Linked DNA regions of Bombyx mori. The protein of the gene in region 1 interacts with the protein of each later gene in a biochemical or structural test. Links are inferred from orthologs where the notes say so. Each region holds a gene or a part of one and is shown in the gene's direction. Other genes may lie near its edges. The genes, in order: E3 ubiquitin-protein ligase MARCHF6 and ubiquitin-conjugating enzyme E2 G2.

Region 1 (4,573 bases):
TTCGACTCCCACATACCTCACCTGCCGTGCGGGTGGGGATCCGGCGATTTTCTCCTGTGGAAAAAAAAAAAAAAAGTCCATAAAGCTAAACATTTTGTTTTCAATCATTTACAATGTTTTTCTCGTATGTTTCATATAATGTAAAAGAAATCATAAAGATTAATATCATTTTTGTATATTTTTATCGCGAGAGCTTTGGCATATTTATCACGAGGATCATTGGATGTTGAGCATTAAGAACTATTTCTAGATAGATACTGTTTGCAACAATCAATTACTTAAAATATTAATAAGGCTGATTTTAGTTGTCTTATTCTTCTTCACGAATAGGAAACTCTTGACAGAGTGGTCGTGGTCATGCATCAGTCGGATCCTGCGATACCGATTCTCTCGCGATGCGACGCCATGTGGCACGATGTTTCGCAGAGTGAGAGCAATCATTTATGTTGGAGCGAGTCAAAGATTTTGTATGGTCGGTCCATCGTGTTGGAGATCGTCCGCGAGATCTTTTGCCCTCGACTTTCCCTTGCACCACCAACCACTCAAATGGAGTCCTCATTACGAGTGATGTGCCCGAAGAACTTGAGGATTCGTATTTGGACTGTTGACGATAGTCTCTCCTTGATGTTGAGCTCTTTCAGGATCAAAATGTTGGTATGGTGCGCGGTCCACGGAATTCTGAGGAGACGTCTCCAACACCACATTTCTAGTGCGTCAATCTTACGACGGTCTTACATCCTCAGCGTCTACGTCTCAGCCCCATACAGAAAGATTGAAAGACCAGGCATCTCATTAACCGAACTTTTGTGTTTTTGGTTATTCTGCGGTCTCTCCAAATCTTTGTTAGCCTCTCAACTGAGGATCTTGTCACGGCGCAACGTTTTCGGATCTCATCTTCGCAGCCTCCGTTGGTGATAGTGGAGCCTAGATATACATAACTATTAACTACCTCGCATCCCGCTATATGTTGGACTTCCGGTTGGTTGATGTTAGCACGATCTACGATCATCATTTTGGTCTTATCACGATTGATCGCAAGTCCAAAATCCAACGCTGTGGTCTCCAGCCGGCGAAGAAGCACCTCGATTTCGTTTCTGGTTGACGCCAAGAGGGTAGTATCATCGGCGTATCTCAAGTTTGATATTTTCCGACCACCAACGGATTTTCCTTTATCCCAATCTTCAAGAACTATGCGCATTATATACTCTGTGTATATATTAAATAAAAGAGGAGATAGTATGCAGCCCTGCTTAACGCCTGCCTGTGTGCTGAAGCGTTCGGAGTCAATACCATCAACACGAACAGCGGCCGTGCCATCTTCGTACAGACATCTGATGGTGTGTACAAGATGTTGCGGTACACCCATTTCCGTCAGTACCAACCACAGCTTCCACCACTTGACGGTATCAAAAGCTTTTCGGAAATCCACGAAGCACACATATAGGGTAATATTAAATTCTCTGGCCTTTTCGACAATTTGCCGCATTACGAGTAGTTGCTCTCTTGTGCCTTGACCACAAGAGTTGTCTTATAGAAAAACTGAATTTCATCTATTTTTTAATTTACAAAAATTAATATTATTTGTGTGAAATTGTTATAATCCACAAGAAAGCATTGAGTTTTCCATGTCCAAAATGTTTTCTGAAATTGGCAGCACTGGTTGCTGCTGTCAAACAAAGAGAAAATGTAATATGTTCGGTACCTACCTACCTACTTACAAGTTTTTCTATCTTCGATAAAAAGTGTCGTCAATTTGTGTTTTGTGTTGTTTTAGAGCAGGGTTTCGCTCTGTGTGGTGTCATAACTATTAGTTACAAACTCAATAAATATCTTTATAGAAGAATTCCAAGCACCAGATTTTGTTATTCGACAGTGTTGATCAAGTCTACAAACTGGATAATAGATAATGATGGACTCGGACTCGTCCGGCGCCGACTTCTGCCGGTTTTGTCGCTCGGAGGCAACGTCGGATCGGCCTTTATTCCACCCTTGCATCTGTACCGGTTCGATTAAATGGATCCATCAGGAATGCTTAGTGCAATGGATGAGATACTCTCGGAAGGAAATCTGCGAGCTTTGCGGACATCGCTTTTCTTTTATGCCGATATATTCTCCGGACATGCCTCGCAGGCTGCCTATCCGCGATGTAGTGGGCGGCCTGGTGATGTCCGTTGCGTCAGCCGTAAAGGACTGGCTCCATTACACCCTGGTGGCTTTAGCCTGGCTCGGTATCGTACCGCTTACGGCTTGCAGGACATATAGGTGCTTGTTCTCAGGCTCCCTGGGACCAGTTATTTCCTTACCATTTGAGATTGTTTCTGCTGAGAATCTTGCCAAAGATGTTTTCTCAGGATGTTTTATTGTGACATGTACACTTTTCTCTTTTATTGGACTTGTGTGGTTGAGAGAACAAATAATGCACGGTGGAGGTCCAGACTGGATGGAAAGAGAAAATATACCAGTTCCCCCACCAGAGGATTTTGTACAGCCTGAGAATAATAATGAAAGAGTTAATGAAGTTGGAGGGGATGACGGTGGAGCTCGTGAAGAAGGTAATGGAGTTGGTAACGGTAATGGTGAAGGAGGTGGTGAAGAACCATTAGTGGGCGATGAAGCGAATTGGAATCCAATGGAATGGGATAGAGCTGCTGCTGAAGAATTGACATGGGCCCGACTATTAGGTCTTGATGGGTCCATGGTCTTTCTAGAGCATGTGTTTTGGGTGGTATCCCTCAACACTCTGTTTATAGTGGTGTTTGCATTCTGTCCTTATCACATAGGACGACTTGGGGCTGCCTTAGCAGGATTAGCAACAGAAGGTCCTTATGCTGGACCTTTGACAGCACTGGCTGGCTATGTGTTAGTTGGTGCAATACTTGCCGTACTTCATGGCTTAGCTGCTCTGTTTCGGCTAAGGAGTGCCAAGAAAGCACTAGGATTCTGCTACGTTGTAGTCAAAGTTGCACTGCTTTCAGTCATGGAGGTAAACTTGCAGCTATAATTATGATATAAATTATTGATAACTAAATTAAAATTACATTTCCAAATGTGTTTTTAGATTTTTATCTTTCAAAAAAGATATCAATTGACTGCCAAATACAACTTGAGTGTAGTAATACGGTTATTGTTATTTACTCATTAAATATTATCCTATTGTTTTTATTAAGGCCAATGAACCATAATAACATCACTCACAGCCAATATAGACAGTTGAAAATGGAAAATTTTATAATAATATGCTTTTTTTAGTCTAGGAGTTTTAAGTTAAGTTGTTAAACAGCAGATATAATCATCATGTCATTAACAATATCATTAACTGAGCTGTTTTGAGTATGCATATTATATGCACAATTGAAAAGTAAGCGTGATCGTTTTCATTGTTGCAGGTGAGAAAATATATTATAAGCACTAGGCATAAATCAGAAGCTCATAGATAACATAAATTTGTGACTTTTAACTTTGATACAGAAAGCATAGTTAGAATAGCTGTTCCATCTTTCAAACAGGAGCACATGACAGGATGGTGATACCTCTTCATGCAGCCTGTACATCCTGCCCGTAGGAAAATTCTGAATTAACGTTTGCATATTTCTTACTTTGCAGATAGGTGTGATCCCTCTAATATGTGGATGGTGGTTGGATCTCTGTTCTCTCTCCATGTTTGATGCGACACTCAAAGACCGCGAATCAAGCCTTCAGGCGGCTCCCTGGACATTGATGTTTATACATTGGCTTGTCGGAATGGTCTATGTGTACTACTTTGCGTCATTTGTGCTGTTACTAAGGGAAGTGCTGAGACCGGGAGTGTTATGGTTCTTGAAGAATCTGAACGATCCTGATTTCAGTCCAGTGCAGGTTTGTTATTCCAATTTTAGCAAATTCAAAGTATCAAAACATTCTATAATGAATTGTATCATAAAATTATCCTGAAATGCTCTTGAAATAGCTTGATTGATACTTTCTCGTTTGATTTGTTTGAGAGTTTGATTTCGAACTCAGGTTCAAGTATTCATATACAAATTAAAAATGTTCAGATCATTGCTTATTATTAGGTTTCAGTTTTCACAAATTGCAAATAAGACAAAATGTGCACAATACAAAAAAAAGTACTACATAATGCAAAAGTTAATTTGACAATATTTTTTAGGAAATGATTCACTTGTCTGTCATGTGTCACATCAGAAGGCTGGTGTTGTCAGCCATGATCTTTGGCTCGGCAGTACTATTCATGCTTTGGATGCCAATAAGGGTCATTAAATATGTGCTGCCCGGTTTCCTGCCATACACTGTCTCCGTTCATTCAGAAGCCCCAGTCAATGAATTAAGTTTGGAACTTCTTCTGCTTCAGGTAAGATTTAAATATGTTGTATGATAAATGATATGTTTTCAGTGTAATGTTTTAAGGAGGTTTAAATAAATATGGTGACTAATTATTTTCAGTAATTAGAAACATTTTGAAACAAATAGGAATAATATCATTAACCACATTATGTCATATACTTAATAAGTCGAAGGAAGTATGCCATTTAAATTGCATACATTCATTAGAACAAGGTGTTGTTCATGAATTATA
Region 2 (4,568 bases), on another chromosome or scaffold:
AATATTTGTTCAGAGTGGGGGTATTCATCTGATTAATCCATGGAATAACCGACACACCTAATCTCTTAACCCAGATAGAAATATCAGCACTGTCGATTGCACCTATAATTGAGGTGATGTCTGCCATGTACTTTTGTCAGTTTTTCAATTTTTTTTATTGATGATCACTTTGTTGGTGCAACTAAATAAATAAATAAATTAAAACTATATATAAAAATAAAAGTAGTGCCAACCCTAGCAAATTTCTCATTTCGTCCCAATTAACCGCAATTTTCGGGTAAATAGGGATTACACCTATTTTTGCATTTTTTGCTTAAACTGGAATGCTAGTTGCATAATTTTAAATTAGACAACAAAGATGCCCCCAAGACTCAATCATTTTGATCCTGATATAGCATTATATACATCAACAACTACCTTAAAATTGCTCATAAAGTTGGAATTTGTCCCGAATCGCCCCATTTTACGGTACACAATGTAAATAAATTTGATTTTCCTGAAGTAACAATCTAAGGCGAAGACAACCATAGACTAAATAAAGATATTAAGCTCTTAATTAATTGCCTTTATAAATATGCACATGATGGCGTCGCGAAGCAATCCAAAAACGTGAGATTTTTATTGTCTTACATTGAATGTACATATATAACGCAAATGACATTGGTAATGTTTTTGCGTAATAATTTTCATTAAGTTAAAGTGATGGTCTTAGAAGTCACCAACACTGTTGTTGTTATAGTTCTAGGGTACCCTGCTGGTACAAAGGGCCATCACAAGCTGTCTCCACTTGACCCTGTCTTGCGCTTGCTCCTTGATATCACTCAAGGTCATACCGGCAGTCCTCGTTCTCTACGGTGCGTCAATAAGTATACTTAGGCGACCAGGTTTTCTCCTGCCACGGGTTGCCACTCAAACACGATTGATGCTGCGTTGACTCCGCTGCGCTGTAGAGCGTATCCTATCTATGCACGTAGCCATTTCCAGTGGGCAATGTCTTGCGCTATGGGGGTTTTTTGACATTTTTAGTCCAGAGGTCTTTATTAAAAATAGTGAAAATAGTGACTAGCCAGAATATGGAGAGTATCGACCTCAAGCACCTATTTATGAAACCAATGGTAATATGTAATATTATAAAACAGAACCTACTTATCTCTATTTTCGATAGCAATTTCCTTAAGAACAGTTGTTGTAGGTTGATAATACTGAGGACGATATCGTTATTTTTTAATTTTTACCGTCACCCAATGAACATAAAAATAAAAGATCGTTGATGAATAAAAAGTCACGATGACAATCTTTAGGACTTTGTTTACAAATACAAATATTTGAATAATATATTATTTCTTACCGAGTAGTATAAAAGTGTATCCGATTCAAGTATCTTCTTCTCATTTCAGTATAGAAATCGGATTCTTTTTAAATCATTGTAGCTAACGTCGAATTTATATTTTCTTCAACTTTTATTAATCTTATACAAATTTTTATGAAAATTGAAAGAGGGCACAATGAATTGATGTGCCTTATCAGGTTTTTCCAAGCAGTTAACTGAAGTATTAATAAATTCTAACACTTTGTCCCTTTTTAGGGAAATTATTTCATCAATTACGTCTAATGGTTTTATCTAATAAACATGGCATCATCCTTCAGTTGCAAACAGCTAGGTTGTTTGTGATTGTTTCCTTTGCCGGTATATTAGAATATTCCAACGATAAAATCTGAATTCTGATGACAGAGTCAGACAAATCAGAGGGAAGTCAAAAACAGGGTACAATACTTTGACTTCGTATTTTTAACCAGATTAAGTTTCCATTGAAATACGTTAACAATTCATCAAATAAAAACCCCAGTTTAATCCCAGAAAAAAAAAGAACGATAAGACAAGTATAAATAGTACTTTGAATAATTTCACTGGGCATTAAAGCGTTCTCTGTCGTCCTCATTAACTGCATTGGATTACATTAACTGTTAACTTTATTCTCGCAAACTGAGATCATTCCGTGCAGTATATTGGTTATTCAGTGTGCTCTCGAACGCCACTGAGTAAATTTTTGGCCCCAACGTACCATTTTGTCATTCAAAATTACGGACCAAATGATGGCTGGTTCTGCATTGCGGAGGTTGATGGCAGAATATAAGCGTATGTAAAAAGTAATATTTTTTTTGCATTCATGTAAATGTACGTAATTCTAATAGCTTTACAATTTCAGAATTAACAGTAAATCCGCCGGAAGGTATTATAGCTGGGCCTATAAATGAAGATAACTTCTTCGAATGGGAAGCCTTCATAACGTAAGTAAATAAACATATTTTCAGTAGTATACTTTATATTTCAGCTCTGATATCTTTCCGTTGGTATAATTTAAGTCTAAATTACCTAACAAATGTATATACTGGTGTTTTTACAATTTAATTTTCTTTGAAAAAAAATGCTGCTTTATTTATTATTTATTACAGAGGTCCTGAAGGCACGTGTTTTGAAGGTGGCATTTTTCCAGCAAAATTAGTCTTCCCACCTGATTATCCATTGAGTCCTCCAAAGATGCAATTTTTGTGTGAAATGTTTCATCCGAACAGTTAAGTATGCAAAGAGATGTCAATGAATATTTAGATTAATATTTTAATAACGATTAATATTTAGATAACGATTAATATTTAGATAATTTATATTACATACCTTAGGTATTGGAATATAAAAACAATAATGAAGTTATTATGACTAGTTTTACAGTTGAATTTCACATTTTTTATTGTCATTTGTTTCTGATATTTCAAATATTTTACAGTTTTTGTGGTCTAAGACGACTATGGTGTTACTTATCAATATTGGAATATTGTGGTTATGATATTTGGTGCTTATCTAACTCCTGGGATCCTTTTAGCGTTAAGATGAAAACCTAAGTCAAACAAACTGCCAAATCTGGAAATACTATTACAGTCAAAATCTGTTATAACGACATCGAAGGGACTGCTCATATTCAGTCGTAAAAACCGATAGTCGTAACAACCGGTAATGTTTAATGTGTATCGTGCAAGTACAAACAAATCGATAGGGAATTATTGGAAAAATATATTTACAAAATACGCGATTTTTCTTCAATATTAATTTGTTTTCTTTTTCTTTGCGACATTTTGAAAGTTTCACGAATAACTCCACAAAGTTTTGGTGCGTTTTGTGTATAGATAAGTAATAAACTAACTGTAGAGATATGAAGAAGCGGTTTTTGACCTACTGCATGCACGTGTTTTGTTTCTAAGAATTAGAAAAGACCCTACACTAAACTAAATCCTATTGTTTTCTTTCCTGATTTTAATAGCCATTGAAGACAAATGTGGATACCTATTCAAATTGTTTACAATACAGCTTAGCCGGTCGTTCTAACAGATCTAATTCTCCGAAATATTAGTTAAATGTGGTCGTTTTATGAGGTATGTCGTTATAAGCAATGTTGTATAAAGCAATGTTTTTAATAAGGCGGTCATATGGCATTCAGCGGGGACCTTTGTTCTAGGTTGTTATAACCAGCATGTTGTTCTAAACAATGTCGCCGTAAACGGTTTTGACTGTAGTTCATTTTGTGTGAAGTCAAATCTAAAAGTCTAGAAATATTTTTTATAGATAAAATAGTTGTTACTATAATATTCAAAATCAACAAATAACACCTTGGTCATCTGTAAACACAAACACAAGATTAAACAGAAATAAATAGTCTTAATTAAGTCTACAACTTGTAGTAACTAAAGAAACAAGTAGTGATTATGAATAGTAATTTGCTAGGCCATACAGCCTTAACTCAAAATTATTTTAAGTAGGCATTCTCTGATGCCTTTAAATGGTTAAGACTAATATTATGAGCCTGATCCAAAATTTACTATCACATCTGAAAAGAAGTGTTAAGTTAAGTGGTTGGCTTTCTATGCATTCTGTTCCTTGCCAGAAAAAAATTACATATTATTATATGAATATGTAAATATAATAAAATTCAACACTACTTGGTTTTACCATTCACATTTTCTTTACAGGCTGTAAAATCATCCCTATTAAAGTATTTTTAATTTTAAAACCTCTAAAGTATAAAGGCAAAAAAAAGCCTTTGGGTTTTTTGTTATAATAGGTTATACCTTGCTCAAAGAATAAAGAAATATTTGGACATTTGTAATGCTTGCGTACATTATTAAAATGACTAATAAAGTATTCCATAATCCAGAATATAAGTAATTCATATAATAATAACTGATCAAATTTGACTTTGACTCACTGGTGCGGTAGTTAGCAGTCCTTACTGTTGCACCAAGGGTTGTGGGTTTGATTCCCACATCGGGCAAACATTCGTGTGATGGAGAGGTTTGTTTGTTCTTTTTCTGGGTGGTTATTATCTATATATGTATATATTTAAATGTACCTAAGTATTTATGTCAATTTCTGGTACCCATACCATGGGGAATCCTAATTTTGGGCCAGATGACTGTTCGTGATATATTCCCAGTTATATATTTATTTATTCCTCTGCAATGTAAGGTCTTCTGCATAGTATGAATGACCTGCCCTCTGTAACATCCTCTGAGACAAG

What was found.
Region 2: the proteins of E3 ubiquitin-protein ligase MARCHF6 (region 1) and ubiquitin-conjugating enzyme E2 G2 form a complex in vitro, tested with the Homo sapiens proteins (2 studies listed by BioGRID). The link is inferred for Bombyx mori from reciprocal best matches to the Homo sapiens genes MARCHF6 and UBE2G2.

The regions. Positions count from the first base shown.
Region 1 is NC_085117.1:16,844,527-16,849,099, reverse strand, and holds the start of E3 ubiquitin-protein ligase MARCHF6, read left to right. Parts: upstream 1-1,644; 5' UTR 1,645-1,906; coding exon 1,907-2,983; intron 2,984-3,603; coding exon 3,604-3,855; intron 3,856-4,147; coding exon 4,148-4,348; intron 4,349-4,573. UniProt on the Homo sapiens protein: Endoplasmic reticulum membrane-associated E3 ubiquitin ligase that plays a critical role in mitigating endoplasmic reticulum stress, the regulation of cholesterol and lipid homeostasis, and ferroptosis.
Region 2 is NC_085107.1:15,234,704-15,239,271, forward strand, and holds the start of ubiquitin-conjugating enzyme E2 G2, read left to right. Parts: upstream 1-1,699; 5' UTR 1,700-2,091; coding exon 2,092-2,137; intron 2,138-2,207; coding exon 2,208-2,289; intron 2,290-2,454; coding exon 2,455-2,573; intron 2,574-4,568. UniProt on the Homo sapiens protein: Accepts ubiquitin from the E1 complex and catalyzes its covalent attachment to other proteins. In vitro catalyzes 'Lys-48'-linked polyubiquitination. Involved in endoplasmic reticulum-associated degradation (ERAD).